Drosophila melanogaster: one gene and its partners. The protein of the gene in region 3 interacts with the protein of the main gene of each other region in a pairwise test. Each region holds a gene or a part of one and is shown on either strand. Other genes may lie near its edges.

Evidence for each region. Proteins that work in one complex are often made in the same cells at the same time.
Region 1: the proteins of CG10911 (region 3) and Kdm4A interact in a two-hybrid assay, tested with the Drosophila melanogaster proteins (one large-scale study listed by BioGRID).
Region 2: the proteins of CG10911 (region 3) and CG42336 interact in a two-hybrid assay, tested with the Drosophila melanogaster proteins (one large-scale study listed by BioGRID).

Annotation. Positions count from the first base shown.
Region 1 is NT_033778.4:7,919,535-7,928,061, forward strand, and holds Kdm4A (lysine demethylase 4A), read right to left. Parts: upstream 5,455-8,527; 5' UTR 5,383-5,454; coding exon 5,227-5,382; intron 5,156-5,226; coding exon 5,064-5,155; intron 4,999-5,063; coding exon 4,135-4,998; intron 4,079-4,134; coding exon 3,703-4,078; 3' UTR 3,241-3,702; downstream 1-3,240. Other genes in the region: Cul1 (cullin 1), read left to right, coding at 1-413, 470-871; Or43b (odorant receptor 43b), read right to left, coding at 1,440-1,517, 1,581-1,938, 2,234-3,009; MFS12 (major facilitator superfamily transporter 12), read left to right, coding at 7,213-7,246. UniProt on the Drosophila melanogaster protein: Probable histone demethylase that specifically demethylates 'Lys-9' and 'Lys-36' residues of histone H3, thereby playing a central role in histone code. Demethylation of Lys residue generates formaldehyde and succinate.
Region 2 is NT_033778.4:11,291,296-11,298,357, forward strand, and holds CG42336 (uncharacterized protein), read right to left. Parts: upstream 3,948-7,062; 5' UTR 3,876-3,947; coding exon 3,387-3,875; 3' UTR 3,241-3,386; downstream 1-3,240. Other genes in the region: dare (defective in the avoidance of repellents), read right to left, coding at 1-465, 523-694, 751-1,123, 1,511-1,722; CG30033 (uncharacterized protein), read left to right, coding at 1,253-1,355, 1,415-1,494; CG18336 (uncharacterized protein), read right to left, coding at 2,625-2,893, 2,955-2,970.
Region 3 is NT_033778.4:18,049,376-18,057,071, reverse strand, and holds CG10911 (uncharacterized protein), read left to right. Parts: upstream 1-3,005; 5' UTR 3,006-3,065; coding exon 3,066-3,443; intron 3,444-3,739; coding exon 3,740-4,441; 3' UTR 4,442-4,522; downstream 4,523-7,696. Other genes in the region: CG10912 (uncharacterized protein), read left to right, coding at 43-420, 513-950; Muc55B (mucin 55B), read left to right, coding at 5,022-5,411, 5,699-6,766; CG14495 (uncharacterized protein), read left to right, coding at 7,366-7,696.

The sequences.
Region 1 (8,527 bases), about 10 Mb from region 3:
AGAGGATGTTCCAGGACATTGGCGTCTCAAAGGACTTGAACTCGTACTTTAAGCAGTACCTGGCCGAAAAGAACTTGACCATGGAAATAGACTTTGGCATCGAAGTCCTGTCCTCAGGCTCTTGGCCTTTCCAGCTGAGCAACAACTTCCTGCTACCATCTGAGCTGGAGCGGTCAGTGCGACAGTTCAATGAGTTCTACGCCGCCCGCCACTCTGGCCGCAAGCTCAACTGGTTGTATCAGATGTGCAAGGGCGAACTGATAATGAACGTCAACCGCAATAATTCCTCCACCTACACCCTGCAGGCCAGCACCTTCCAAATGTCAGTGCTGCTCCAGTTTAACGATCAGCTCAGTTTTACAGTCCAGCAACTGCAGGACAACACACAGACGCAGCAGGAGAACTTGATTCAGGTGAGAGTAGTGTCAATAGATAGAATTAATAGAGACTTATGTAAGAATTTCTTCAGGTATTGCAAATACTGCTCAAGGCGAAGGTGCTGACCTCCAGCGACAATGAGAACTCGCTGACGCCAGAGTCGACGGTGGAGCTGTTCCTCGATTACAAAAACAAGAAGCGCCGAATTAACATCAACCAGCCTTTGAAGACTGAACTTAAAGTGGAGCAGGAGACTGTACATAAGCACATAGAGGAGGACCGAAAATTACTGATCCAGGCGGCGATCGTCCGCATCATGAAGATGCGCAAACGACTCAACCACACCAATCTCATATCGGAGGTGCTTAATCAGCTGTCAACGCGCTTTAAGCCTAAGGTGCCCGTGATCAAGAAGTGCATAGACATCCTGATCGAGAAGGAGTATCTAGAGCGAATGGAGGGACACAAAGACACATATAGTTATCTCGCCTAAGTTTTTGTTAAATGAACAACTTTCGCTGTTTCATCTATGCCAGCCATTAAAAATATCATCAATAAACTTAGATTCGTGTCGACCCTCCGCTACCCTTCCTCCTAGCCCGAAATAAACTGCCGCCGAAACATTCGAACTAGAAGCGAGCTAAAAATACTCCATGCTTCGCATAAAATGTGCAATTCTCGCCAACGCGTCACTAACTCCATCTTCCGACACCCAGCACCTCATTCAAAGAAAAGGCCAGTCGCAGGGATCAAGTGAACCTATTGACCAGATCACAGCCGATGAATCCGGCCTCTGTAGGAACATATTCCAATTGCCGAGGACAAGGTTCCAGGTTCCCAGCCTACAAATAGACTTCTGCAGGGGCTGTACGGTATACATATGTAGCGATTTTCTTTACTTCCCATTGTTCGATCAATATTTGTTTTAACTAGATTATGTTTATTCATAATTCGCTGTATGCATATACAATTATTATAATTCTACGAAGCAAAAAAGTGTTAAGTTCATAAAACTATGTACGTTTACCTCTGGTGCGGTCAATTGTATTGAGTATTCCTTTCTATTCCTTAATGCTTAACTTTTGGTCCAGGTTCATACCGCTCGCGATGGCGTACACGGTGAAGGCGAACTTGGCTACCTGCAAGGATTGAAGTTCGGACTTTGCTTCCTTCCCCGTTCTAACCGAGAGCAGTGGACTTACATTGATGTTAGTGGCCAAATTAATGTTAAATATGTTCATGGCGGTGAAGGTCATGGGCTGCTGCAGTTTCTGCAGGAACTGGATGACAGTCCGCTGGTATCGCTTGTCCTGCACCCACCAGGCGGAATGGAAAAGTGCGTGGGCCAGTTCTTTGCAGTCGTCCACGATGGCGTTGCAGTAGAAGCAAAGCGGAAAAGTCTGCAGAAGGACGGCCATAACGTAGATGACTATGCCGAATCGGGTCGATTGATCAGCGAACAATACCATGTTGATCATAATTATGCCCAGGATCGATCCGCATATGATGAATTGGGCAAATATCGTGCCAGAGATGATTGGTTGAATGGCATCACAAAAACTGCATGGGAAACAGTGGGATGGGTTTTTAACATTGAAAATTTAAATTAATGCATATATTTTAAAAAATGTAAGCTAATTTATTTGAAATAAAATAGTTTTATGTCGAATCGTTTGATATACCATTTATTTTATCCTGAATGTAAAAATATACTCTTATATATTCAGAAATATCAATAGCGAGTTCTTATAAAAGTTGTACTTTTATTCAGTTTTCCGAATAAATTCAGATCCGTTGAGTGAAAACATAATTCACGGTTGTTGATATTTCCGGTAGGATAATGAAACTGACTTACTTTAGCATGGTTCTGTGTGCCTTGATACAATCCACCAACGATTTAAACATGTAGCTCGGGTCGCTGCTACCCTCGTTGCTGGGATCGCCCAAGTAAATGATACGGTCCTTGAGCAAGAGAATATGAGTTCGCAGGGCTGCCACGTAAATCACAGGGTAGGAATCGGTGGCGGTGGCCACATATATGGCATAACCCACGGTGAAGTACTCCAGAAAACTCTGGATGTACATCTGGGTCCGATCGACTCGCCAGTTTATGAACGGATAGTACGTATTGTAGGGAACACGGTGGTGCAGTAGTCCGTCCAGTAGCGTGGAGGTGGCGTAGAGGACGTAGACCACGACGAAGGTCAGGTACAGTCTTGTAATAGTGGCCACCATGTCGCGAACCTTGCGCTTCTCCGCCGGCTTCACGCAGTACTTATCCAATTCGTCAAAGTGCTTGTTGGCCAGCTCCAAGCGGTGCGTATAGACGATCAGAGTGAAGAACTTCAGAGCGAAGCACCAAGTGTTGAGGCACAGTTGCAGGGATTGCAGCAGCAGCTCCGGCGGGAACTCCGCCAGATGTATCACATAGTTGATTGGGAAACTTACGGGAAGTATCACCATATTGTAGGTGAACGAAAACACCCTCCAAATCTTGCGGCCTATACCGAAATCGTTCTTCAAATTCAAGCCCGAATTTCGCAGCGTCTCCATCATGTATGCATTCGAATCCCTAGACTGTATGGGCTCCGATATAGGAGCCGGATAGACGAGCTTAAAGTGTCCGAACATCTAAAGTTTCGAATGTTTAAGGCTATAATATAACTGGCGATAGGAGGAGCTCGGAATGCTTTTATAGTCCGCGATTTGTAGTTCTTAATTAATGTTTGCCAATTTAGTAGGCGTTCCTCTTTTGGTTGCAAAGAATTTTACACATGTGATAACATATCAAATTATTAAACCATATTTCTGTGTGATTATAGACATTGGCCTTTAGGGTGTTTTTTTTTTAAATGATTTTTTCTGATAGTTCCTTAAAAATGGTTGCCAATTTAGTGGGCGTTTCTCTTTTGGTTGCAAAGAATTTTACACATGTCATAACATATCAAATTATTAAACGATATATCTGTGTGATTATAGACATTGGCCTTTAGGGTGTTCTTTAAAAAATGATTTTGGCATTTTCAGATTTAAATTGTGTTGCAATACTTCTTTCGGTGGGAACAGACACTTGTTAAATTAAAATGTGAACGGACAAATTCAGTCTGCCCTACAGCTACAGCTTAAAGATTTACATATTTGTTTGCACGAATTTGCTTGTCTTCTAAATTATACACACATATCTTCTTAGTTATGTCGTCATGTCCTCTTAAAATGTATAAAAATTTACCAAAGAATATCACTACTAGATCTTTGATTGCTGCGGCGCGAAAATCTAACAAGGAGATCAAAAACTGCCAGCAAGCAGTGCCACATCTGGAATCCTCAATCCTCGTCGTCAAGTGTGAGTACTTTTGTCTGGAAGCGCATTCGTTTGGTATTCTTTACTACACCGTTGGTGAGCAGGTTGGCCCCTCGATCCGGACAGGGCAGTTCATTCCATAGGCGCTTTACGCGCACCACAGCCTCAGTATTGAAGTCGTATCTCTTGGGGGCGGAAGATGGTTCAGGTACAGACGCAATGGTTGGGAGTTTGCGTAGTTTGACAACTGGCTGCAGCTGGCGGCAGCTGCTATAGCTGCTCACACTGGCCTTATCGTCGACATCCTCGGCGGACTCCGCGTTTCGTTCACATCCATTGCCGGCCAGCGAGCAGCCTCGCTTCTGCGGAGATTCTTCTTCGGATTTGGCTGCACGTAAGCTGAAATATTAGGTTGTCTTAGTAATATAAGTCAACTTCAATAGCTAATGTAATACTTTTCCTGTTTCTCGTACTCATTCAAAGTGGGTGGTGCTGCAGCGCATATTTTACCCGGCTCCTCGGGATGACAGCCCATGTCCTGACCTTTCAGCCAATTATCGTATCGCTCTGGCTGGAAACGGCGTACGAAGGTCTCCATCGAGATCTTAACCATGTCGCTGCGGCATCGGCAAATACTAGCCCGCTTGCCGTACTCGATCCAACGCTTCGACGCAAAGTTGGTCGACTCGGCGCCGTTGAAGCCATGATTGAACCCGGCATGGTAGCCGAAGGGAAATGTAATCATGATTTCGCCCGCTTCCTGCGTGATCTTGTTGTAAGGTATGTTGTGCTGGCGCAGCACCTTCGGACTGATCATGGTCATCTTATGGCGAAGATAGGCATTGCATTCCTGGTAGTTCTCAGAGAAGGTTTCGTTCGCCAGCTTCTCCAGACGTCTGCCATACGCCGGCGGAATGGCGTACCAGGTTTTGGGTGCTCCAAAATGCAGATAGTTAATAGAATACAGATCCATGTCCTCGGTATGCCAGGCAAAAGAGCTCTTCCACATGCCAAAGTAGAGGTAAGCCGTGTTTACCCCATCGATGATTATGTTGTAGTCAGTGTTGACCAAGTTTAATATGGTGTCCAAGCGTCCAATGTTCCAAACGTCAAGGTCTTCATCACTCAGCGATCCCTTGACATCGGCTGCATACAGTGGCGATATGTAGGTGATGTTCTTCCAGTACTTGCGCTCCAGATCGTCGTAGTCGAAGTGCCTCGGTGTCTGGTGCAGCTCCGAGTTGGCCTTCTCCATGAATTGGCGCAAGGTCATCTGCCGGCGCTGCTGGATGTTGATTTGCTGGTACACCCCGTGCGCCCTGCATTAACATTCAAAAGTTTTCCCTTATTTTTGTCCATTGAGTCGTAAATGAGAAGCACTTACCCAGTGACTACTTGGCAAATCGGCGCTGGAATGGTCATGTTGATGTTGTCTATGTCGTAGCCCGACTTTCGGGGCACCCATTCCGCAGGTGGCTGCATATAAAAAAATACCAATTTAATTATATTTATGTGCAAAGATGTAGTTGGGGGCTGGGCCAGCTTACTTGGATTTTGGCCAAGCCGGCTAAGTGTGCTCCCCGAGACTCAATGTACTCAATGTAGGCGGAAAAATTTTGAAACTCCTCGTAGCTGGGACGGAAGGTCATGATACGGGGCACTTTGTTCTGCTCTTCATCGGCGAATGAAGATCTCGTGGACATATTGAAGGAGCAGCAAAAAAATTAAGCAAGCGAAACGAATCTCCTTTGCCTAGTGTGACCAGATAACAAGAAGTATAATATACAAAGAAATTATCGTTTTTCCGTTACAATAATATTTTGAAGAACAACATTTTTAAAGAAAATTTTAAAAAGATTTTAAGTATTTATTGCAGTACTGGTAAGGTATAAGGTATATATACAAGGTATATAAATGGAAATTAAATGAAATTAAATAAATAAGTAATAATAAGTATTTTTTAATAATCAAGATACATAATATAAAAATATCATATATTTAATTATTTAGTATGGAATTGGATGGCCTTTGTATTACTTTAAAATTCTAAAAATGAAAATTAGATCGCTTGGAGGAACAGCATATTTTTTTTACCAATTCGGCTACACATTGCCAACAAATCGTTCTTATCCCTACCAATTTGGAACCACATGTTTTAATTCTATTTTATAATGAATGGATACAAAACATAATTAGCTATTGCAATACATATTTACAGTATGAAACTAACCCATAAACAAGAGAGAATGCTATGGTCGAGTTCCTCGACTATCAGATACCCGTTACTCAGCTAGTGTGAATGCGAACACGAAATTTCGTAATTTTTCTGGGATATCTATAGATATTGGGGAATAAAATAAGAAAAAATTAAAAAATATTTCAAAATGAACGGCTTAGCGGCGTTAAAATGGGTGTGGCAAAAATTTATTTATTGGCAATCTATGTGAATGTCAAAAAATGTCAGTGCAGATTCTTGTATTTTGTCAATTTTAGCGTTTGGATCATTTTCTTATCGAACAAACGCAAAAGATCTCAAGGCATTAATGTAATCAACAACGTAAACATTACAACTATAGGGCTCTTTTGATCACAAGATGTGGTCTACGTGTTTCGTTGTTATATTCTCCTAATACGATCAAATACTTCTTAATAAGAATTACTATATTTATTATTAGCTACTTAAATGGTATGACAAATCATTTAAATCATGGCATGCATCACATAGTTAATTTTGAACAGGAGTACTATCTTTTTCGCATATCTATCACATAGAAGTTGCACACTCCGCAGTGATAAAGATTTAAAGCCACTTCAAATATTACAAAACGTCTTCGTTTGAATTATAAATGTCGTGGTACTTTCTCCTTACATAATACTTGATTGCCCCTCTGACGAAAGCCTTGAAGGCTGACACATGGTATATCTTAGCTATAAAGGCTTTCCCCAGAATCTACTTGGGATCAAAAGTGTTGACAGCGCTAATCGGAAGCTGTAAAACAATTAGGCCAGGATAATCAAGAGAATTCTGTGGAAAGTGCACACAACAAGAGATAACAATTGAATCATTGGCTCTAAAAGGGATTTCGAGTGCAGGCCAGTAACATCCCATATATGTACATATGTATACGTATCAGATAACCCTTTCTATATAAATTACTGATCCACTTTTTATAACAACTGGAATAATACGATCGGTTGTGTTCAATCGCTTACAATCGTAAAAGAAAATCAAAGCGAAGACTTAATGTAATTTGCATTGGATTGAACAATGAGGGGCAAGTGCCGAGCACTTTGGTGGCGGTTTATGGGTTTATGATTATTGCCGCGATAGTGACGGACGATCTGCGTGGCCACTTGAGACCTGGAGGCGGAGCCGCGTGTAATCAGGAGACTGCGATTTTGTGGTATCAGTATAAAAGCGAAAGGTACAACAATCGCTCCGCAGTTTACCATCGTTTTCGGGGCCAGCCACTTCGGACAGACTGATTTCCACATCACCGAGTTATTATAAATAAATCAGAAAGACATCTAAAATGGGTTTCGAACCCTCTGAGGATAAGGCAAGGCGTAAGTTTCGGATCGAAGAGAAAATCACTGCTGATTAAGATAGTATTAGAGTGTCATATTTCACATATTTCGAAATAAAAGCACAATAACTAGAGTTTCATAGAAAACCTTCGAGAGATTCCCAAAATATCAAAATTCAAGTGTGAATAGGTTTGATAAGGTGTGCACCGTGAACATATGGAGTTACTGGAATCGAAAATATTAAATAGAATAATATATATGAAAAAAAAATTATAAAGAACAATATTTTTACCAGCTGGTTCCCTTGCTAAATTAAGTCACTGTGGGCTGTGGACGTACACGTAGTGACGAAGCGCACCAGGATACTTTTTTAAATATTTTTACAAAGCTTAACGATTTAGTAGATTTTTAATTAATAAAATCTTTTGTTTTGTAAAGTCAAGTGCAAAATCATTTTTCGTCACAAAAGTTGATATCAGAACTTTAGTATCTTGTGAGGGTTCGTTCGTCACTTGTTTTAACTTAAAGACATAAATTACATATAGAGCACTATCAGTATCAGTTATACCGCTGCTCTCTTAATCTTCTCCATAAGTGCTCTTCACAAACCACTAGACCTACCCTAAGAGTTTGGTCAATGTTATTACAATCCAGACGTCTGGCTATATATTTGCAAACCATATCTTGATAAATCTTATATCAGACATCTGCCGAGACTTACGACTTTATGAAGATCAACAGAGATAAATCGGCCTGACACAAAGAAAATATTTATTAACTGCGCGAAGGTTGGCCAACGTGTTCATCTGCAGGGAAAGCAATTTCTGGCGATCTAATCTGAATATCCATCCAGTTCAACTTCATAGGAGGAGGCAATCGAGCTTTACGACTGTATACACACGTTTGGTCCCACGGTGGAGTCTCCACCACTACGCGAACTTTTCCATTGAGACCACACAGCTGCTTTTGTTTTCCTCATTGGCAGGCGTTAATGATAATGAAAATATTATTATAATAAAACCCAAAGAGTTCCGTCGGAGCCGCAATTAATGAAATCATCACTATCAGAGCATTGTTAAACGGCAATAAACCGTAGATTGAGGTCCTAGAAAATATCGACCAAGTGACAACAATTTGCACCGTGCACTTATAATGGGGCAATCAATAAATCGGATGGCCAGACGCCAGTTAAATTCCTAACTGATCAGACATGGTTTATTATTCCAGTGGAGAGAGAAGACCCCTGCTAGTCAGAGTAGTTCCGAATCCGCTTAGGAGACTAGCCTGTAAATGAGCGTATCTTTAATCTCTAAACTAAAT
Region 2 (7,062 bases), 6.8 Mb from region 3:
TGTTTATGTCATCGCAGATGGTCTTGGCTACCGCAAAGGCGCCGTTCATGGTGGTCACAATAACGCCAGTGGGCCCAGTTCCTAGCCAGCCAGCTACATAAAGTCCAGGGTCAACCTCTCCCGTAGCATCATCCTTAAGAATACGACCATTAATGTTGTGAACGCGACCGCGTCGAGTGTCAAAGTTGATGCCCGTATCCACGCAACTAGATTTGTAGCCAATGCTGCGCAGGATTAAGTGCGAGGGAAGACGCTCTGTGGAACTGGTGGGCACTGCTGCTTCCTGCTGCAGTTCCGTGACAGAAAACTCCATTTCCCCTGGGGCTATCGCCTTCGGAGCGCGCAGAAAGATGGGCAGGAATTGTTTTGAGCCAGAGATCCTGCCCTGCTCCTTTAGACTCTTAAGCATCAGTTCGGTAAGTCTCTTGCGAGGCCGCTGAAGTTTATCCAGCTGCATGTCAATGCCTTAAGAATAGGACGTCATGATCATAAATACGACTTCGGAAATTCCACAATTCTCACCCGAGAAATCCTCTGTACGCCACCGGGTGTCTACATTGGGCAGCTTGAGCATCTCCCTCAGCTCCTTAATGGTGAAGGCAGCTTGCAGAGGACCTCGTCGGCCAACCAAATGGACTCGTTCCACTTGGCTGCAAGAAAGCGCTTCCAAGGCGTACTCAGTTGTGTCCGTAGTCTGTAACAATGCACATGAGAATCGTGGAATTGTTTGGGTATTAAAAAGAAACTCACCTTCAAAGCATCCAAGGGACTGAGCAGCATCCTAGCCACATCCACAGCCACGTTTCCCTGACCCACAATCGTGACATCGCGACCGCTCAGATCCGGAGCCAAGTTTTCCGCACCCGGCAATCCATTATACCAGGCCACAAATTTCCGGGCTGATATCACATTATCCAACTGCTCGTTCTCCAGCTCTAGTTGCCGATCCTGGTCCGCTCCGTAGGTGAGGAGCACGGCATGGTATCGATCTCTTAGCTCACGCAGGCTGACATCCGTACCCAGCGATATGTTGCCAAAGTAACGCAGACGCGGATGCTCGGCGGTCTTGGTGAAGGTGTTGATTACGTTCTTGACCTCCGGATGATCGGGCGCAACGCCAAAGCTGCAATGTGCGATTTGCATAATGGGACAAGTCGTTAGTCGATAAGTGCGATGGAATGCCGTGCACACGCAATCGTGTGCGGATATAAGCATTTGATTTCGGAGTGGTTGTCACAGTTTGTATTCCAAGATGCAGGTGCTAGGCGGCAATCCACTCAGCTTGTGTCTCTTGGTGATCATCACTCCGTCACTGATTGCAGCCAATCCCCTGTGGAGTCTTGACCAGGTGGGAGGTATGTTTACATTACCCCTGGATTTCTGGCAAGGATTACACACATGTCGATCTCTTCAGCATACTTCACTGGCATCTTCCGCTCCGTAGTGGGTCCAATATTTGGCTTTGGCCTGGCAGCCAACAGCACCGCCTTATAAAGATTGTTCTGCTTACCGCACCAGTCCGAAGGGAACCGGCAGCTTCTCGACCACATCCACCACGCAATTGTCCAGCTGCTTGAGGATCAATTGGGCGGCATAGAAGCCGGCGGGTCCGGCGCCTACGATGCATATCCGCTTGGTGGGCGTGGTGCTCTGGATCACCTGCAATCGGGCGGAACTCGTGTGGAGGCCACGTCTGAAGATGTTAAGGCAATTGATGCCCATCGTGGATCAGTCGCCGATCTCTGCTACTGGGAAAGCAGCTCGTTTTCGTATCTTACAGATAATCAGTCGGTTTGCTAGGTGATCTTCTCAAAAAAGTTTTTTGCTAACGATGATTTCTTATTTACTCGTTATCTCTCGAAAGACTTTCGCCAGCAGTCCCCAAAATACCCAACGGAATCCAAACAAAACAGAGTATTTGCTCTCATTGCGTTATGGTAACACTACGTGATTTCGGTTTAATTTAATTTTTCTGAGATGAAAATTCCTATGAAAAATCTAAAAATATATGACCCCAAGCACCGACAGTACATTAGTAATAGAAAGCTAGGAAAGTAAGGATGTTTTAATATTGTTATACAGACAGTTGCAGCGGAGCAAGAATTTAAATTGCGCGCCTTTTTGATACTTGATACTCTCATAAGGCGTTTAAATATACATATCACTCCTTTCATTTCTAAAAATATTGAAAATTAACAAGAAGTATTTATTATTATAAAAAAATATTGAAGCATTTACAGAAATGTTGTAATAAATGTACTAAAAGTCAAATAATAAATGAAATAAATACTTTTTGAGATTTTATTTTAAAATTTTTCGCGTGCGATCAATAATTATAGTTACTTTTCTTGATATTTGTTAGGAGAAAAGTGTTTTTGGCACCTTGTGTACCATAACGAATATATTCTTATCTTGTGACCTAAAGTTTAATTAATTTTATTGCTCGAAAAAGCCATCATAAATTAAATGTGCTTTTCTTGGACATTTGAATTTGTATGATTTTATTTCTATTTGCCATTTTCTACAGGCTTCTACTGGATACGATTTATTTCGGGTGCTTCTGTAAGCGTAACACAGCGAATTTGATTGGCTAATGGTGAGTGAGTGTTCCGATAACTCGGTCCTCAATCATGATTGAGGGCCAGATGACGCTTGGCGTCGATGGTGGAACGGCCATAGGTGTTGCCCACACGAAATTTGTTGCCCGGAACGTGGCCGCCGTAGCGTGGAATCATGCCTACCACCCGCGGATAGATCACGCCATTGGGATTGGCGAATGAGCGGCCCACGCCTGCCTTCTCCACGGGCACCCATTCCGCGCTGCGGATGAAATGCATGTCGTTCTTCGGGTAGCACCATCCCTCATCCGGCAGATGGAAGTCGAAACCAAATCCTAGAAGGGCATGTTGACACATTAGATTAATAGATAAGTCATGGTTGAGCTTTTAACTTACGGCTGGAATAGGACATGTTTTTTATTTCCGCAAAAATTGTTGATCCTTTCCGAGTGTTGCTGCTTAACTGGGTAACTGGAAACTGAATTTAACTATTAATAGCTGGCCTGACAGGAGAAGCTTCGACAAAACGACCCCGTTTCCCATGACAACGGAGGCCAGGATTGGACGGATTGCCTAGATGGCAGCAACAAGTTAGGTCACGACACCGATTTGCATTTCCTGATGCCGTATTTTAATGGCAATTAATTCGACTCGTCGTAACAACACAATTACCGTGGCATTTAAAAGAGTTATGGGGTACGTTTTATTTTATTACGTTTACTGGTTTATGATTTAGTCATTTACAGGGCGATTGTATTGATTAACAAGATGGAAGGTCTCAGGGCCGGAAAGTGCACTACGTCAATGATATCCTCGCCTCCATCTCCTTCAGTTTGACTTCTTGGCCTTCTTCTGTTGCTTGCTCTTCAGTTTCTCCTGCTTCTTGAGCTCCTTTTCCGTCAGGGATTTGTACAGCTTGTAGCCAAAGAGAGCTGTAATGCGGAAAGAAGGGAGACGGTTAGTAAGGTGACGTTGATACATTATGCGATCAAGGGAACTGAGACCGAATATGGAGACCAAGAGAAAGATCACTGCCGACACTATGGAACTGGAGTAGGTCTGTGCGAAATGGGCGTGCTGCACTATTCGCTCCTCGATTCTGCCAATCGTCTGCTGGAACTTGTCCTTCATCTCGGCGAGAAACACATGCCGATCCGTTTCGGCCAGGGACTCCAGCTTGCTCTGCATCTCGCCGATCCGCTGGACGAGATCCTTGGAGAACTTGCTGCTGGGCCCAGTTTTGGCCACGATCGACTCCACGGACTTTTTCAGCTGCTCAATAACCCCGAGCTCGTCACTGGAACCCGACCAACTCATGTTTTGGGTTGTTCGGAAAAGGGGCTAAGTGGTGTGTCAACTACAGCCCGGCATGGGTCTCTGGCAAATACTGCTCTTTGGATTCCACTCTACCTATGTCTGCGGTGGATCCTACGCTTACCACTGGTTATCTTATCAAAAATCGAACGCTTTTAAACGAAGCAAACATTCTAGCTGTGGCTCGTGAGCGAGTGAGTGAGTGCTTCGACATAGCCGCCTCCTAAAACCTTATCGCCCTTTAAGCAGAAACCCAGGTGGGTGCGTATATCGCGCCCGATAAGGGTTATACGACTCGTTAGTGGCTCGTTCCGGAGGACGCTTACCAAAGACAATGAGTATGAGGGCCAGCATCACGAAGAACACCAGGTACTCCCGGGAACTGTGGCCCGGATGCCCGTACTGGCGCATGAAGTCCTCCGGCGACGGCGGCTTCGGGTTAAAGATGCTCTCGCGGAGCTCGGCTCGCTCGTCGTCCGAAATTCCCTCCATGCCCTCGACCAGCTTCCAGATCTCCTCGGCACTGGGCATCTTAAAGTCGGGATGTCCGGGCTCGGGACCGGCAAAACCGCCGGCTCCTCCAGCCGCAGCGGCAGCTGCCACGTCCTCAGCGAATGCCTGCTGGTTCACCGGATCCTCAGCCATGATCTAATCTCTGTTTGGGGCTTTAATTTACGGGCTGGGTTCTGTGGGCTCTTTGGCTTTTAGCGGTTCGCGTCTGAATGGATGGTATATAGGAAATCATGGTATTCGGTTTATGGTTCTACTTTCTGCATTTCAGCATGCTATTGGGGGGGCAAACAAAATCACAGAAACAAACAACGTGGCAAAACAAACGAATCGAATTCGAAAATGGATTTTGATTATCTATAACACAAGTTTGACACGCGGCATGCAGAGATAATAACGATTGTACAAATCACATAAACTACGATATTTAATCCCCCCCAAATCGCACACTTTCCAATATTAACTAATTTTGGCGCTAGATCGCCGGTGCTTACGTGCTCCGGCTTCTGCTGTTTGGGAGGACTGAATGAGTCTCTCTAAAACTTATATTAAAATCAATATAATTATAAGCCGCCACTCGTGTGTAATCAGTCGCTTGTATTTCATTATTCCCAGATATGCCCACTAGTTAACTTTTCGCTGCGCTTTTCGTTTTGCCTCCTGCCTTCGTCAGCATATTTTCAAAGGTGATCGCAAGAAGTTGGCATTGCGGAGAGCATATGTGTGCATATGCGATAAGGGAGAGCCACTAATCAGTGCCGGACACACGAGTACATAAAGACAAAACCCCAGTAAAGAGTGCCGTCCCATTCGCGAGCGATAGATGGCTACAATGTTACAAGATGGCCACCATATAAACGTCTACAGTTTGAATTGTTCAAGACGAACATCGCGAACTGATTTTATAGATCTTTTATTAATTTCTGCAATATCAAGCACTAGAATTGGAATTCAATGTTTCAGCTAATATAAATGTTATATCAAGATAACACTTCTAATCTTTCTACCTATAAAACATATACAACGCTCATTTAGAAATGGCTTTTTTAATTAAGTTACTTTTGGAACCAATATGTTTTGCTTGAAGATCTCTGCAAAAATACGCTAGCAATGTTCAAAATAGAGATGCTGGAAATTCGAAGATTTCAAAAAGGTACGTTTTGCGGCGGAGGTTTGACTGTACGACAGAGTCTATTGAACGGTGGCAGGTCGACTCCTTATCAGAGGGCCATTATCGCTCTTGAGAACCACAAACTTTTGACTACGTACGCAAGAAAACCGGAATGAGACGGACTGGCCAGATGGAACACGTAAGACAAAAGATCGCAAAGGCAATCCGAATCGAGGGTATCTCAAATCAAAACAGATAAGAACGAAAAACCAAACATCCAACAGCTGTGCATATCAAACGGCCAGCAAGCACTTGACTAAGTTGCTCGCTTGGTGAAAGTCTTTCGACCCATTTAGTCGCGGTTTCGCTACGACTATAAAGATATTGCATGCATAACACTGGGGAAAGGAGGGGTCTAAAGGTGGTAGCTAATAAATGAAGGGGGCCAGGGGAGGGGATCATCCGCAACTTACCTGCCAGGGTAAAAACAACAATTGCCGGCACGTAGAAGGCGAAGTCGGGAATGGATTGCTGGAACGGCGAGCCGGCGTCGGTGAGGTCAACCATGTTGGATCACTGCAAGATTGTCTTAAGGGTCTTTGGAAGAGCACTTGTGCGTCTGCACTACAGTTCGGGCGTTCCGCTTGCGACTTTATCTCAACAATTACGAAAAAAAAACGATTCGGAGAAGAGGAAGCTGCGATTGTCAGACGAAAATGTTGTACTCCCTACGATTCATCGATATAGTGAAGGCTTGTGAACAGAACTCAGATAACAGTGGTCCGGTCACACTAACAGTCGATTACAAGTTATCGCTACCAACCGCTAGCCGCAAAAATTTAAATTTCATCGGTCAACATGTATAATTGCATATTGTATATAAATGTAAGATTGTTTATTATTATTGTTTATTATTAATTTAATTATTAGTTTAATTCTAAATGCGGTAATTATATAAAGTATTCTTAGTTTGTGACCGAACGACTGCTGCTGAGAACTCGACTGACTGCAACGCTGACTTCCACTCGACTCCACTGCTGCCTTGCGATCGTTCCTTCGATGACTGATTGTCGATAACTTCGATTTCCGACAATCATGTTGCTGCTCAACAGCGCTGCCAACCGGGTTGTTGCCAGCCTTCAGCCTTACTCCATGTTACATTCGGCCCTCCTGATCATCATCATCCGACCCGGATGACAATAGGTCTGCATTTTCGGCTATGTACTTCCACAACTTCATGTTGTCACAGCTGGTGGATGTGACATTGGGTCCTTCGACGTTTGCTGCTTTTTTAACGTCATATCTGCCATTGTCTTTGACCCCTGTGACTTCGTATGGACCTAAATACCCGCTTGCCATCTTGCGGCCAGCTACAAATTGGGTCCTTTTAATTGCAACCAGATCACCTGCTTTGTATTTGTATTCAGCTCGGCGCTTTTTGTCGTAATTGCGCTTGTAGTCCTTCTGCGCCTGCTCGATGTTGCGTTTTACCAGCTGTCTCATCTCATAGCGGTCCTCGTTGAATTGACAGACCACTTCTTCTTGGAGCAGTTCCAGTAACCGATCCTC
Region 3 (7,696 bases):
CCAGTTAGAAGCAAGTTTCAAACGAACCTCACAACGAGCAACATGCAGTCACATCTCATCGCCATCCTGCTGGCCACCGTGGCCATTGGCTCCTGCATCGCGAATCCCAACCTCATCTCTGGTCCTTCGCGAATTCTTGAGATAATGAGCGCCACCAGTGATATCCAGCGTAATAATCCACAACTGACCGTAGAATGTTTTGACTACTATAATGACGTATTCAAAACCGAGTATGCGGAGTATGTGGATGAGTACAATCTGTGCGTCGATAAGTATGATGGCGGTTATGAACAGGTTCTGGAACAGTACAATTCCGTTGTCTGGGACCTCAGCAATTCCACCTTCGAATCCTGCATGTTCCTGCTGGACTGCGATAAACAGAATAACAGCGAAAATGCTCTATCCTGCTACTCCACTGAGGTAAGTGAATAGTGATTTGATTTTTTAAATACAATTATTTGATAAGTCTTATTTTGTAAAATTAAAACATTCAAATTCAAATTAATTTTCAGGGTCCGACATATTCCAAGCAGTTGTCGAATGTGGCAGCCAATGCTTCGGTCTCGGTCAGTTCACTGCGTCAGCAGGTCGAAACACTGGTGTTCACCCGTGACCAATGCTGTTCTGCAACGTCCAGGAACTATGAGATCCGCTCCGGCGAGTCCTACGAAGATCTTCAGAAGTGCCTGAGCGGTGAGAATCCTGTGCCGGAAAGAAGCACCACCACTACCAGTTCCAGCTCCAGCTCCAGCACCAGCACCACCGCCGCCAACCCCACTACTACCACCACGACCCCATCTCCTTCAACCACCACCTCATCGTCTTCCACCTCCTCAACAACGAGATCTCCATCGACAGTTGCGCATTTTAGTTCCGTTGAAAACAGCAGTGGCAACAGCCAGCACCGATTTCCAAGAAGACTGGACAATATTTTCAAACATATTCTTTAAGGGTTGAACAATATAAAAGTCAATATCAATAAACTAAAAAGGAACATTGCAAAAAGACAATATTAATAGTGAACAATTAATAAAGTAAACTAATATTAATACTCATTTTTTGGGCTATAACTAGGGGTATAGCTAATGTTTAATGAAAAGTTTGGACTTACAATATTTTGTGGCATATCTTACAATTAAAATGAGATTGTGCTCTAAATAATGTTAAAGAAACTAAACACTTAACTTACAACTATATTTTATATGAGTTGATACAACTGTTTCAATAGCCATTTAAAATTCCAAGCTAGAATAATTTATTTGCCAAGAATACTCTTATCTTCGTCTGAATGGCTTTTTATCCGTTTTCAGTAAACTTCTGATGCAATTGAAAAACAGGCCTAGGGCCTTTGAGAAATGGCAATGGCTTAAGGATTGGCTCCAATCCTTAAACTAAACAGATGGAATCAAGTGATGAAGTCAATCTGGAAACTCAAACGAGAAACTAAAACCCATTGCAACTTACTTAATTAACGGACCGATCTAGGTGGAAAACCGAGTAGGAAACCAACCTGATGCGATGCAAATAAAACTTTTTGCATTTGCCATCAGTCCAAGTTTATCAAAGATCCAGCAGGACACGGACTGGGGGGAGGGGGGGGGGTTGGCATTAGCGGGGAATGGAAGGACAAACATGTAAATCAGCCTGGGAAAACTTTACCCCGGGCAGGACAAATAAAAAGGGCGAGGAAAAAGGAAATCTAGGACGGGACACTTTAAGGTAGCGGTAACAGTTAAATAAACATCAGAGCCATTTTCCTAGCGGTGTTTTTTTTTATTCAATTTTAATTGCATGTGGTGTTATTGTTTGTACAGCTGCCGGTGGCGGCCTTGTTGTCACTGCAATTAAAACAAATTAGAAGCGCTGTGCAAAGGGGAGAAGATTTCACTTTGCCAAAATAAAGCCAATAACTTGGCAAGTCCCAGTATCCTGCGTCCTTGCCGTCTTGCAGCCTGCCTATTGGTTGGTTGGCATTGCGATACCCAAAACACACACACACACACTGACTCAAAGAAGAACACGCAATTAAGATATGCAAATTAGAAGATGTCCTTGCTCCGGCAGCTCCTGTATACCTGATGGCATCTTCACTCCACTGGGCTCTGATAATTATGCAGAGGTATGCAATGGAGACGGCTTTAATCTTGGCCAACCATCTCAACGATAGATTTTTATTTTGGGCAACAATATCGGGTGAAGTGAGTCATTCAACTTTTTCAAATGTAATTATTGTGTTGACCGACAAGCTCTTTTGATAAGCTTGAAATGTGTATTGTTCGGTCATTAGTCATAGAAATTATACCAAAATCAAGTAATCAATCTGTGCCCGAATATCGACTCAGAAATTAATTGATAACGAATTGGGAAATCCTAAAAGCCGCGGTCTATAATTGTTACTTCCCAGTTCGTTACACTCAACCCTAGCATGCCTACTTGTTTACTTTTAGCCAAGTCGAAGGACTTGTCGCACTTACTTCTTTTCACCAATAACATTTAATAATAAGATTGTTTCGCGTTACCTCCGATACTTTCAAGTGGTTTGTGAATATTCCAAGAATCGAACTGTATGACAGACATATAGACTACACGTGTATATTCGCACTATAAACACTCGAAATAGATTAGATTATTTAAGCCTTAAATTCTTAGCTATTTGCTTCCTTTTTTTTTTTAGCAAGCTCGGCAAATTGCGTATGAAGATCAATTCTGGGAAGTATAGAATTCGATCGAATGCTGATCTAGGTGAATAAAAATTTTGGGAGCGGAGTGAAGGAAACCCTTGAACTGGATTTGCCGGGTGGGACCCAATGGAGTGATGGTTATAAAACCGATAAGACTGATAAGACTGACTACGGCCGGGTTTTTGAGATAGCTCGAGTGATAGGCTAAAGCTGTCCAATAACATGGCAATAACATGCGGTTTTTAATGGAAACCAAGGTAGGAATATTATTTTATGGACCACTCAATCGCGACGCCTATAAATACAGCAGGTGCTAGGTGGGATCCAATAAGTACGATTCGATCGCTGGAATAGTTTAAACGTAAACTGTATATAAAAAAAAAAATGCTCGTCAAGTTGTGCGCTATCCTTTTGGCCCTTGGCCTTAGTCAGGCCATTGCGTATCCGCCCCTGCAACTTAGTAATCCGCACCAGAACCTAGTGCAGTTCCTGATACAATCACGTGATCTCGGCAACGATGGTGGACATACCCTTGAATGCTTGGATTATTATCTTCCCCTGCTGAACGACGTTGTGGAGACCTACAAGGCTGATTTAAATGCGTGTTTGGAAACAGCTAGTCAGGAGGTCTCACAGATCAACGACAATACCAAGGAAGAACGAGATGCCATCGATGCCTCAGCCAAGAGCTCCTGCGATGCCCTCACCGCATGTAGTACAAAGGAAGCGGCCATAGATTACTTCCAGTGCTACAGTGAAGCCGTAAGTTGACTTTTGATGTGTTGCCGCGAACATGAACCACTCCCAAATTGATGATTACAAATTATTTTCGCGTTGAAAAAAAAAAAATGATTAGTCAAACACATGATTATATAATCTAATTAAATTGTTAACTTTTAATAGTGATTACCAAATCCAACAGTTACTAAAGTTTTACTTTGCCAGAAACATGATTTTCAGTCTAAATACATATTCGAAATTTAGTTTGCGGTTGATTAAGTTAACTATATAGTATATTTCTATAACATTTACTAATTTTCAAATATTCTACATTTCAGGGCTCCAACAACACCAAAACCATGTTCACCATCTCCGCTAACGCTTCGGAGCTGCTGGCTGCTGTGGAGGAGGAAGTGCGTCTCATCAAGGTGAAGGAAGAGGTGTGCACCAACAAGACCCAGAGGGCCTATGGAGAGAGCTACGGTCAGCTGTACGCGGATTTGGGTGATTGCATTGCTGGCGCTCCAATTCCATCGGAATCCACAAGCACCCAGGCCTCCTCCACGGATTCTTCGACTGATTCGACGTCCGCTTCCACCGAATCCTCTACTGATTCGTCCTCCGTTTCCACCGAATCTTCTACTGATTCGTCCTCCGTTTCCACCGAATCTTCTACTGATTCCTCGACTGATTCTTCCTCCGCTTCCACCGAATCGTCTACTGATTCGTCCTCCGTCTCCACTGAATCCTCAACGGATTCCTCAACTGATTCGTCCTCCGTGTCCACCGAATCATCCACTGATTCGTCGACAGACTCCTCATCCGCTTCCACCGAATCCTCTACTGAATCCTCGTCTGATTCGCCCTCCGATTCTACCGAATCCTCTACTGATTCCTCATCTGTTTCCACGGAATCCACAACAAGTAGTGGTGAAAAGGAAGCGGCGCCTGAGGAGGACTTGAAATCCCTCTCCTCTCAAAACAGCAATGACCTCCAGAAGATTCTAAAGAATCTACGGGTTTGGTTTAAAAATCACTAAGCGATCGTTTTAATTTTAAATAAAAGCATAAACGAATAAAACCCAAATAAATATAAATATCTACTTTATTTATTCGAAAATAAAAACAATAAGTGTTTTTCCATTGGGTAAATAAAAATTTAACTTCATAACTTGAAAAGATGAGCAGTGTGATTTATTGTGAAACCCTCTAAAGATATCCGCTGTTATCAAGTTATCAGGGTATAGTCCCCGTTCAGGCGCCAAAGTACAGTGTTACCCGCCACTTGACTAACCAAACGTTAGCAAATCAATTAGAGGCGGTCAGCCGATAAGCTACCAACTATACTATACCATTACCAGATAACAGGGCTATTTATGGATGTTTGGGTCACAGAAAAACTTATTAAAAATCAAATCGGAAGGAATCATGGCCGATTTTAAGAACACGATAGCAACTTAATTAGCTTTTAATCAGCATGATTTAAAGATTTCTCGATGACAGTTCCAACTACCGAAAATTATGATAGAAGAGAGCTATAAAAATATGAACCAAAGGCCGGTAGCATTCAGTACGTATTCGAGATCCGTTAAGTCGGTCAGTTAAGTGGGAATACTAAAAATGAAGTTCGCTGTTGTCCTGTGCCTGCTATTGGCCACCAGTGGCTTTGCCCTGGTCCCCAAGCATCCCGCCGATCTAGTCTCCATGTTGGCCCGCCAACAGTTCGCCGTTCGAACTTTAATGGCCGCTCCCGAGGCACGGGATGATTCGACCCTGATCAATGACTGCTTCAACCACTACCTGGAGGACCAGACCAACGTGATCATGGGTTACAACCTACAGTACACCGGATGTCTGAGAACAGCACAAAGTGGTCGGGATGAGCTCACTAAGGAGAGCGCCTCGGAGCGCGAAGCCCTTCTGGATCGCACCAACAAAATGTGTTCCAGTCTGACTGAGTGCGATACCCTTGTTGATGGCCTGGAATTCTTCGACTGCTACCGCAATGCCGTAAGAAAAATTATTCACTAATTTAATTATCTCGAAATCTCCAGAAGATGATCTACCTCTTCAAGCACTTACGATTATAATGAAAAGCTCTTTAAAATGTGCCTTGGCCACACACTGGTCTAGATTTCCAATCGTATTGCTTACTGCTCGATTAGAGCGGATTAAAAAAGCGTGCCATTGTCATAAATTCATTCGTATTATCAGACGAGAGCTAAAGTGCTTTATAATGAGTGACAGTCTAACATTAAGGGAATATACAATAAATAGTAACATGCAATATCTTTTAGTCCTCCGACAGCTACAAGGTTATGTTCACCCTGAACAGTGACTCCAGCCTGGACTTCAACCGCATCAGTGCCAAGTACCAAGTGATCGAGACCGATCTTACTGACTGTGTGGATTCAGCTCGCTTGGATTACGCCCACGACATGGACGCCTGCGACGAGAATCTGACGTTGTGCTTAAAGGGAGGCGAGACTTCCCCCGAACCGACTGTTCCCACTACGACCTCTGGGACGCCAGTCACGGTCACTACTCCTGAGGCTCCAGTGTCCACTACTCCTGAGGCTCCAGTGACCACTACTCCTGTAGCTCCATCCACTACTGAAACTCCAGTGCCCACTACTCCTGTAGCTCCATCGACTACTGAGGCTCCAGTGTCCACTACTCCTGAGGCTCCAGTGTCCACTACTCCTGTAGCTCCATCGACTACTGAAGCTCCAGTGCCCACTACACCTGTAGCTCCATCGACTACTGAAGCTCCAGTGCCCACTACACCTGTAGCTCCATCGACTACTGAAGCTCCAGTGCCCACTACACCTGTAGCTCCATCGACTACTGAAGCTCCAGTGCCCACTACACCTGTAGCTCCATCGACTACTGAAGCTCCAGTGCCCACTACACCTGTAGCTCCATCGACTACTGAAGCTCCAGTGCCCACTACACCTGTAGCTCCATCGACTACTGAAGCTCCAGTGCCCACTACACCTGTAGCTCCATCGACTACTGAAGCTCCAGTGCCCACTACACCTGTAGCTCCATCGACTACTGAAGCTCCAGTGCCCACTACACCTGTAGCTCCATCGACTACTGAAGCTCCAGTGCCCACTACACCTGTAGCTCCATCGACTACTGAAGCTCCAGTGCCCACTACTCCTGTAGCTTCATCGACTACTGAAGCTCCAGTGTCAACTACTCCTGTAGCTCCATCGACTACTGAAGCTCCAGTGTCCAGTACTCCAGAAAGCACTACCGAAGCCGCTTCCACTACCGAGCGTTCCCCTGAGGAAGATATCGACAGATCTGGGCGTCTCGGTCAGAGGAGAACTTGGAACCTGTTTAAGCGCTTCTTCTAAGCGTGAGAAACTTTGTATTATTTATTGCATTCAATGAGAAAATTTAGCTACGTATAAAGCGTAGAATACTTTTGGGTTTGATTTCAAATTGTTTTCATAGAGGGACGCGTGCAGGATTTCTGCGGAAGGGGTTCCAAAAATATCAACAAATTGCTGTATTAGTAGATTAAAACTTTTGTTAAATATATAGAAACTGTATGCACACTTTTTGTTTTGAATTCCAAATATATTCAATCAAGTCGGTTGACTAGTGGATTAACCCTCTTGAGTACGACGCTGGGAGTAATCTTATCTCTGATAGATGACGGAGTAATGAGCTTTATCTCGCCTGTCCAACCAGACAAGCGCCACACTATTGACTACTGGTGTTTGCCACTACTCTTAGATCAGAGAGCTTCGATCCACCGGACGACACTGGCAATCACATTGTGCACGTCTATAGATAAGTGGTGCACCTGAACCTTTCATAAATAACTGGCCTTCGGGCTGGTCAATAAAACCGAATGGGGCAGAACCGAGTTATTAGGAAATGATCAATTAGACGCTCGGCACTTGAGCATTTTCGTTGGTTCTTGAGCGCATTCGAGACGGACGATCAAATGGAAGCACTACGTCGATTTTTAAGAACGGAGACTCGTTGTCGCCTCAACGGGATACATACCCTAATATTGTGTGTCCTATTTTTGGGTTTTTCGGTGGCTGGTGAGATGCCGGATTTGTTCACTCCCGAACCGGATCTCACGATAGACGAATGCCACGATGAGTTCACCATTGCCTGTGCCAACGCTTCACTGGTCTTCTCCGATTCCTACGATCTGTGCGAACTGAATGCCAATGAGACCATCATCAATCTAGAGGTCGATGTTGAACTGGAGCGACTCCAAATCGAGTTGGGATCCAGTGCGGTGTGCGGCAATATGCAAATCTGCG